Linked DNA regions of Nothobranchius furzeri. The protein of the gene in region 1 binds, or shares a complex with, the protein of each later gene. Links are inferred from orthologs where the notes say so. Each region holds a gene or a part of one and is shown in the gene's direction. Other genes may lie near its edges.

Region 1 (4,576 bases):
GTTTTGAGTTTATATTTATTTAAATAAATGTTGTTTTGTTACTTTTACCACAAGAACATGCGTTCTCATTGTTACCCCAGGACCCCTAGACAGCCTGGAGCGTAACAGTATTCAAAAGCATCATTAATGGCTGATCCCACAGGATGATGACTTAACACCATATTGATCTCCTGGCTTTTACACTTTTGATGTTCGATTTTTACCCATTTGTGATTTAGTCTCTGTCCAACAGGTGACTGAGACGTGTGGTTCTGGGGGAGTAGAGGTGTTGTTGATGCCATAGGTTTTTGTATCACACAGGCCCGTTAAGAAGCTAACACTGGGTGCTCCTTCTGTGAAATCATAATTGTGTAATTTCATGAGTTCTGTAAAGAAGAAGATATCATTTCTATAGCGTCTCTCAAGATAAAAATCACAAAAACAAAAAATGTAAAAATATTAAAAAGCATTTAGAAAATATATTTAAAATGAGCAAAAATAGTCAATTGTGATTAAAAAATGTAAAGAAAGAGAGAGAGTGAACAGGAAAGAGGGAAACCAGTGGATCCTGAGGAAGGTGGAATAGGTGGGGAGAGCAGAATAAAGAGAGTGTGGTGAAGAAGGTCATACAAAAGCCAACTTGAAGAGGCAAGTCTTCAGCTGCTTTTTAAAGGAGACCACTGAGTCCACTGATCTCAGGCTCAGGGGGAGAGAGGTCCAGAGTCTGGGGGCCACAGCAGCAAATGATCTGTCACCTTTGGTCTTTAGCCTGGTGCTGCACAACCAGTAGGCTTTGATCACTGGACCTCAGGGACCTGCTGGGGGTGTAGGGACTAAGAAGATCACCAATGTAAGATGGTGCTTGTCCATGTAAGGCCCTATAGACCAGAACCAGGATCTAGAAATGAACCCTGAAGTTGACTGGCAGCCAGTGAAGCTGGAGGAGAAGCGGGGTGATGTGGGTGTGTTTGGAGGACTTGGTCAGAAGCCGAGCACAGGCCTTCTGAACCACCTGTAGACGGTTCAGGGAGGTTCTGCTCAGACACGTGAAAAGAGAGTTACAGTAGTCTAAGCGTGAGGAGATGAAGGAGTGGAGAACTGTCTCAAGTTCAGAGCGGGACAGAATGGGACTCAGCTTAGCAATGTTCCTGAGATGGAAGAAGGAAGAGCGAACAAGAGAACTGACATGGGAATCCAGGATGAGAGCTGGGTCAAAGGTCACGCCAAGATTCCTGACAGAAGGTTTGGTGTGGGAAGCAAGCTGACCAAGAGAGTCTCTGACTTTGGGAACCAGCTTGTCTGGGGCACAGATGAGGATCTCAGTCTTATCTTCATTCAGCTGAAGAAAGCTCCCAGCCATCCAGGTTTTGAGGTAAATAAATACATGACATCAAAAGTAAAATAAAACGTAAAAAGAAAAGAAAAAACACAATCATCAAAATGTGCAAATAGAAAGAAAAAACTATCAAAAACTTCCACATAAATAATGATTTTACTTTTGAGGAGTTTGCCACACTTGAACAAAACGTCTCTTATCTGTTTTTGCGACAACGTCACTGCTTTCCGCCAGCAGCAATCGCTTTACGGCAGGAGAGAGGACCTTCCACATGGCTTCCGCCTGAGTCGAGTCGTCGGTGTTTTCGCTAAACTTTCGCCCTAGCCCAGCGCTCAGCAACAGACATCCTGTTTACACGAACCCGTAGAAACGGGCCGAAATGGGTAAAAGCAAAACCACTAAATTTAAACGTCCGCAGTTCAACTCGGTCGGTTTGCCGGTGAACGCAGTTAAAGAGGAGGACCCGGCCGAGGAAGACCACGATGAAGACGACTGTCCAGCTGCAGAGCTGCTGGAGAAAGTAGGAACTTTAAACCCACAGAGTTGTGTTCGCGTGCGTTAGTGAAGCTGGCGCGAGCTAATTCACACGAACACCTGTCCTACACCTGTGTCTGGATGAGCAAATGCAGACAGCTGGGAGTTTAGTTCCTTCAGTTAACTCGTGCTCGATTTTTCTAGCCAGCTTAGTTTGGTTTTGAAAGTGCTTACCTTGTTACTAAAATGCTTCACCGTGCAGTTAAATAGGTCACAATTAAGACTTTATTGGATTAATGAAGTGAAATTAATGTAAATGTTTTATTTTTGTATCATCCCTGTCACCTGCTGGGAAATTTAAATAATAAAGTGCTTGGTTTAGATTTGGGCAGTGATGTAAAACCATGTTTAATCAGAGCTGCAGGGCCAGATAATACGTCAATTAAACAGTCTGGAGATGGATTAAAGTAAAACTAGTAAATAACACAAAAAACTTAAATATTTTCAATTTCCAGAATAGGAGCAAAAAGTACCATTGCACACTCACTTTCATAGTTTAATAAATGAAAAATGGAAAAACAAATGTTACTGTAAATAAAGTAGAGACGGTCAATATTGGCTTTTTTTAACCATTATGCCGATATTGTCTGCACTTAATTTCCGATAGAATAGACTTTATTGATCCTACAGTGGGGAAGTTCACTTGTTACAGCAGCACCAACACTTAAGAGAATAATTGGAAGAAAAGTCATATCAGTGGTACATGTATTTATACACATAGGCAGTAGTCTAGTATTGCAACCTTCGACCCCTAAAAACCTTGAGTAAAAAAGAAAAAACTTTGCTCCAATACCAGAGGCGGATTTAGCAATTTGGGGGCCCAAGGTGAACACAGACATGGGGCCCATAGTGTTGGACCAGCACTATGCAGCATGCTGCAAGAGACACAAGCATGCAATGTAAATCCGGTATTGCACCAGTATTGAACACATAATGAATGTTGCATTGGTGTTATTGTGTACCAGGATAATGCCAGTAAACCTTAACCTGAGGAGTTATACACTCTTACCGCTGAGAGGATGAAAGCTGTTTTACATCTGGGATGTCTGCTGTGTTATGAATACAGAGGGGCGAATTTAGACAAAGTCAGCAACATGTTTACATCACTGAACAGCTGCAGAGAGAACATAAGCTAACGTTGGTAAGCTAGTTAACATACCGCTCTCTATGAGCCCCCGCTAGATGTGCTACTTCTTCTTATAACTGAACTGGGCATGAACTAGTTGAAGGAATGCTGGAGGAGTTTTGTTCTTGTTTTGATCGCAAAAGCTATCGCTCGGTATGGGGGCCAAAATTAAGACTGCTGCCCAGCAGCAGGAGGCTATATAAATTCTGAAGCAAACTACTGATCTTATTAATTATAAGCTGGTGCCGGTAACTGAGAGGCTGGCGCTGCTTACTGAGAAATGGCACCTTTACGGCGTTATTACTAGATATGCTAGGGACTAGCGGCCCTCGGCTGGTCATTGACTGGTTTACACACTCCCTCTGCTGTCTATTAGCATGGATAGGCTAGCGTTAGCCTGGACAGAAGAAGAAGAAAATATCATTTCTATAGCGCCTCTCAAGATAAAAATCACGAGGCTGGTGTTAGCATTGGAGAGGCTAGCCATTAGCATGCCTAGGCTGGTCACTAGCTGGATTTCCTACCTCCTCGACGGACCATTAGCATGGATAGGCTGGCGTTAGCATCGGAGAGGCTAGCCATTAGTGTGCCTAGCTGGATTTCCTACCCCCTTGACGGACCTTAAGCATGGATAGGCTGTCATTAGCATCTGAGAGGCTAGCCATTAGCATGTCTCGGAGAGTCACTAGTCAGCTAGTCTGATTTATTATATGTGTATGTCAGTGTTTCCCAACCCTGGTCCTCAAGGCACACTATCCTACATGTTTTCCATGGCTCTGCGTCAGCACACCTGCTTGACACTGCCTCCTCAGGAGGACATCAAGTGCTGCAGATGCCTGTTAATCACCCATTCATTTAATCCATCAAATGACTCTGGACGCAGTGGTCTCCTTCAAAAATTCAATTCAGTTCATTTCAATTTTATTTATAAAGCGCCAAATCACGACAAGAGTCGTCTCAAGGAACTTCACACAGTAAACATTCCAATACAGGTCAGTTCATTAAGCCAATGAGAAAAAAGTTTTCTATATAAGGAACCCAGCAGGTTGCATCAAGTCACTGACTAGTGTCAGTCTTTACAGCAGTCCTCATACTAAGCAAGCATGTAGCGACAGTGGAGAGGAAAACTTTCTTTTAACACACACACACACCAAGTAATGTTTCTATGGTTACATTGTGATGTCTTAGTAAATATTCTATTTGGTGAGAGATAAACTTTATTGTATTTATCCTAGTGGATCTATAATTAAACGGGTAAACTAGTAGTAACACATCCAGCGTCAAAGAGAGTAAAGTGTTATTATCAGGAGAGGGAGAATGTTGAAAACTCACCTGTTCAAGCTGGTTAGGGTGCGACCTTCATCACCCTCTCCTTATTCTGCTCTCCCTACCTATTCCGCCTTTCCCAGGATCCACTGATTTCCCTCTTTCCTATTCTTACTCTCTCTTTCTTTGCATTTGTAATCACAATAGTCTATTTTTGCTTAGTTTAAACATGTTTTTTCTAAATTCTTTTATATATTTTCAATTTTTTGTTTTTGTGAAGCGCCTCGTGATTTTTTATCATGAGAGGCGCTATAGAAAATCTTTCTCTCTTTCTT
Region 2 (3,850 bases), on another chromosome or scaffold:
CCAAATTAGAGAAGATGAGGATAAAAATAGAGCTATTAAAGTACCAGAGCTGTGAGGGGAAATGGTACACAGTGCAACAATGAGAAGGGGTGTAGTATTAATAATTCAAGGGATTTAATCTCACATGAAAACATGTTCAGCCATCCTGTAGGGAAGTTTATCACAGCTGCAAACTTTTAAATGATCCAGAGACACTACAGGAGTCTGAGAGCAGGAACTTTCTAAACACTGTATATTAATATATTAAAACTGGTCATTTTCATACACATTTTTACAATTTCATCCAATCTTATTAGACTTATTTAACTATTCTGGTTTATTAAACACAATTTTGTTGTTGTTGTCTTTAGAAGGTTCCATTCATAAAGTAAAAAGTTGTGGTAAAAATTTTTGTTTTCTTATTTTAATTCGAAACAAAATGCAAAATTCTGCCAAATGTGGACAACTTTCTATGGGGTCAGCAATTGCAATAGCAAATATACCGTAAAAGTGAGAATTTTAGCCAGAAGTCACAGAATAAGAAATCTGTTGCATCATTTTAAATTTCTGCATTCATAAATTATGCATAATGATTTTATTTACAGTACTCCTAAAAGTAAACTTAGAGGGATGTGTACAAAAGCTGATGGTACTTGGAGACCTTTTCTAAAGATTTTAAACTTACGTAAGCCGTTTATTCTAATTCTTGACATCTAACATAATAATTTAACGTAATGTTTTGAAGCTGTGGAACGTGTGCATTTGTCTTCTCTAATTTAAGCAGATTCATCCTAAAATGCATGTAAACATGGCATCCAGTTTAAATCACTACTGAAAACTCATTTATTCAGGCAGGCTTTCTCAAATGCCTAATGTAACCGCAAACATTTGCTTGACTATGTTCTTCCTACTGTTATTTTATGTAGATTTTAACTAATGTGTCAATGTGCAATGAATATCTTTATGATAATGATCTATTGATTGATTATTTATGACTTATCTGTTGATAATTTTAACTTGAATTGTTAGTTTAGTATTTTAGCATTTTACTGTTTTCATTTTTAACTTGTATCTGTTTAACTGTTTGATTTGCATTTTTAATTTAACAGTGTTTTAACCTGTATCATGTCGTTTCTGTTAAAGTGACCTTGAGAGTCCTGAAAGGTGCTTACAAATTAAATGCATTAAAAATGCATGTAAACAAGCTGCAATGATTAATATGCAAGTGTGTATTTGTTACACAACATAATGATGCAATAGGCTTGTTTGAACTCAGTTTTAAATCATAGAAGCGTGCTTACAATAAAGTATGCATAGTAGAAAAATTTAAATTTGAACATCTCATTGAAAAGATCTGCATTTTTTAAGTTTTTGTTTATATTTGGCGTCCTTAAGCACCATGAATTAATTAATTAATGTTCTGCTGTGTGTACATAAACTTGCAAGATAGCACAGCTGATTAGCATGTTCATATGTCTGTATATATTTGTTATTGTTATTGTTGTGGCTTACAATGAATCACATTTATTCCGTCACTTTTCATTTCGTTCTGTTTTGTACTCTTGGTGAAAACAGCGACCGCAGTGCCATCTAGTGGCCAAAATGAGAACTTCCGGTTGCTGCCCACGACCCGGAAGTACATTGCCTTGTTTTTCCGGATTCGCACGTGGGGAGTTGAGCGTTCAGAAAATGGCTGCGAGCAGTGTGGAGGAGTTGTTAGCCAAAGCCGAGCAAGAAGAGGCTGAAAAACTGAAAAGTATCACCGTCCAGAAGGAGCTGGACCTGGACTTCGACCTCGGTAACCTGCTAGCTTGTGACAAAAACCGCATCGAGACGCGGGACTTCAGAGAACAGAAGAAGGAGGACTTCTTGCGGTCGCTAGCTCGTGACAACACACAACTTCTCATCAACGAGATATGGAAACTCCCCACGGAGAGGGTCGAGGAGGTGATAGTAGCTAAGCTACCGGAACCGACCACCCGGCTGCCGAGAGAGAAGCCCCCACTGAAGCCTAGACCTCCAACCAAATGGGAGCAGTTCGCCAAGCTGAAAGGCATCCAAAAGAAGAAGAAAACCAATCTGGTTTGGGATGAGACCGCGAAGGAGTGGAAGAGACGCTGGGGCTACAAGAGGGCTAACGACGACACCAAGGAGTGGCTGATTGAGGTGCCAGAGACTGCGGACCCCAACGAGGACCAGTTCGCTAAACGGGTCAAAGCCAAGAAGGAGCGAGTGGCTAAAAACGAGTTCAACCGGCTGAAAAACATCGCCAGGGCGCAGAAAGTCAAAACCCCCGGCGTGGGACTGGTCCCCAAAGCTCAGCAGTCCAGAAACGAGCTGGCCAAAGCAGTGAGTGTGGCCAAAGTCTCCACAGCATCTGTTGGGAGGTTCCAGGACGACCTGCCCAAAGAGAAACCTCCAAAGAACTCAGGCAAGAGGAGGAAGTTTGACCCTCTGATCGGTGACTTCTCCAGCGAGAAGCAGAAGCAGCTGGATCTGCTGAAAACCATGGGCAGCAAGAAGCCCAGACTGGACATCACCAAGGCTGTGAATCAGCAGATGAGGGAGGAGGACAAAGAGGAGGCTGCAGCCAAGCGCAGGAAGGGGGGTGGGAAGAGGGGAAGGAAAGGGAACATGACTGGGAAGGGGAAGGCTGGGAAAGCTGGAGGAGGGGGGAAGGCTGGGAAAGCTGGAGGAGGGGGAAAGAGGAGAGGAAAACCTGGGAAGAAATGAGAACTTTAATAAAAAATATTTAAAAAATACACTTTCATACAGCAGCGATAAGTAACTGATGTTTATTTTTCGTTGGTGTTTTTGAAATAAGAGATTTAAAACATCAATATTTTGACTTTCAAGAAGAAATCTGGTGTCATTTATACAAATCTGTTGTTTATGGTTAATTTTACAAATGTATGAGTTGTATTAGTTCAGCAACAAAGCATTTTGGGAGAATTAACATTAGATTAAATAATTTGCTGTCATAATTATAAAGTTTAGACCTTTTTAGGTGGAAAAAGTGTTTAAGAAAACCAATAGTTTCAAAAAGCCTCATTTGAAACTTTAATGGCTTTATAATCTGTTTATTTAATTTTTTAGGTTTATATTCAAATAAACCTGGAAGAAAAGGCTCAAATTCATCCTAAAATTGTCACTGTCATGTTGCGTGTTTATTTGTCTCAACCTTAATTCATGAAATGGATACATTTACAAATAAATAGTATTTCACCTTATTTTGTCCATGTTTCATTTTAGATTTTGAAGTTACATTTATTTAGAAAAACAAGTACAGTGATCCCTCGCTACTTCGCGGTTCGTTTATAGCGGATTCACGACTTCGCAGATTTTTTCTTCGGAGCCTTATTCAAGGGAAATTCGCCGATTCGCGGTATTTTTCACCGATTTGCGGCATTTTTCTATGCGAAATATCAAGAAATTCCTGTTTTTTCATCATAAAATGCACTTTTTGTAATAAAACAAGTAAAAAAAGATTTTTCTTGAGTTTTACCCACAAAAAGAGAATGTGATCATACGATAATTCAATATAGTACTGTACTGTAAATATGGTGTCCCTACTTCGCGGATTTTCACCTATCGCGGCCAGGTCTGGAATGCATTTACCGCGATAAACGAGGGATCACCTGTAATCTAAAAGTGCACTGAAAATTCATATAATTCAATGCTTTAGGGTCACGAAGAACTAAATCTGTTTACCGATAAACATCAGATAAAATAGCAAATGGGAAAAAAATTTCAGATAAATATAACTTTCAGACTGAATAAATTTAAGTGATGTCATTTTTTTCATTCAAAGCAACGTAGGAATATTTGCTGTTATTGATTATTACTGTAAATGTTGAAAATAACTGAAAAT

Evidence for each region.
Region 2: heatr3 (region 1) and rrs1 share a complex: the UniProt entries of both Homo sapiens proteins name them as parts of the hexameric 5S RNP precursor complex. The link is inferred for Nothobranchius furzeri from reciprocal best matches to the Homo sapiens genes HEATR3 and RRS1.

The regions. Positions count from the first base shown.
Region 1 is NC_091749.1:70,410,027-70,414,602, forward strand, and holds the start of heatr3 (HEAT repeat-containing protein 3), read left to right. Parts: upstream 1-1,562; 5' UTR 1,563-1,694; coding exon 1,695-1,835; intron 1,836-4,576. UniProt on the Homo sapiens protein: Plays a role in ribosome biogenesis and in nuclear import of the 60S ribosomal protein L5/large ribosomal subunit protein uL18 (RPL5). Required for proper erythrocyte maturation.
Region 2 is NC_091747.1:51,664,453-51,668,302, forward strand, and holds rrs1 (ribosome biogenesis regulatory protein homolog), read left to right. Parts: upstream 1-1,620; 5' UTR 1,621-1,668; coding exon 1,669-2,712; 3' UTR 2,713-3,209; downstream 3,210-3,850. UniProt on the Homo sapiens protein: Involved in ribosomal large subunit assembly. May regulate the localization of the 5S RNP/5S ribonucleoprotein particle to the nucleolus.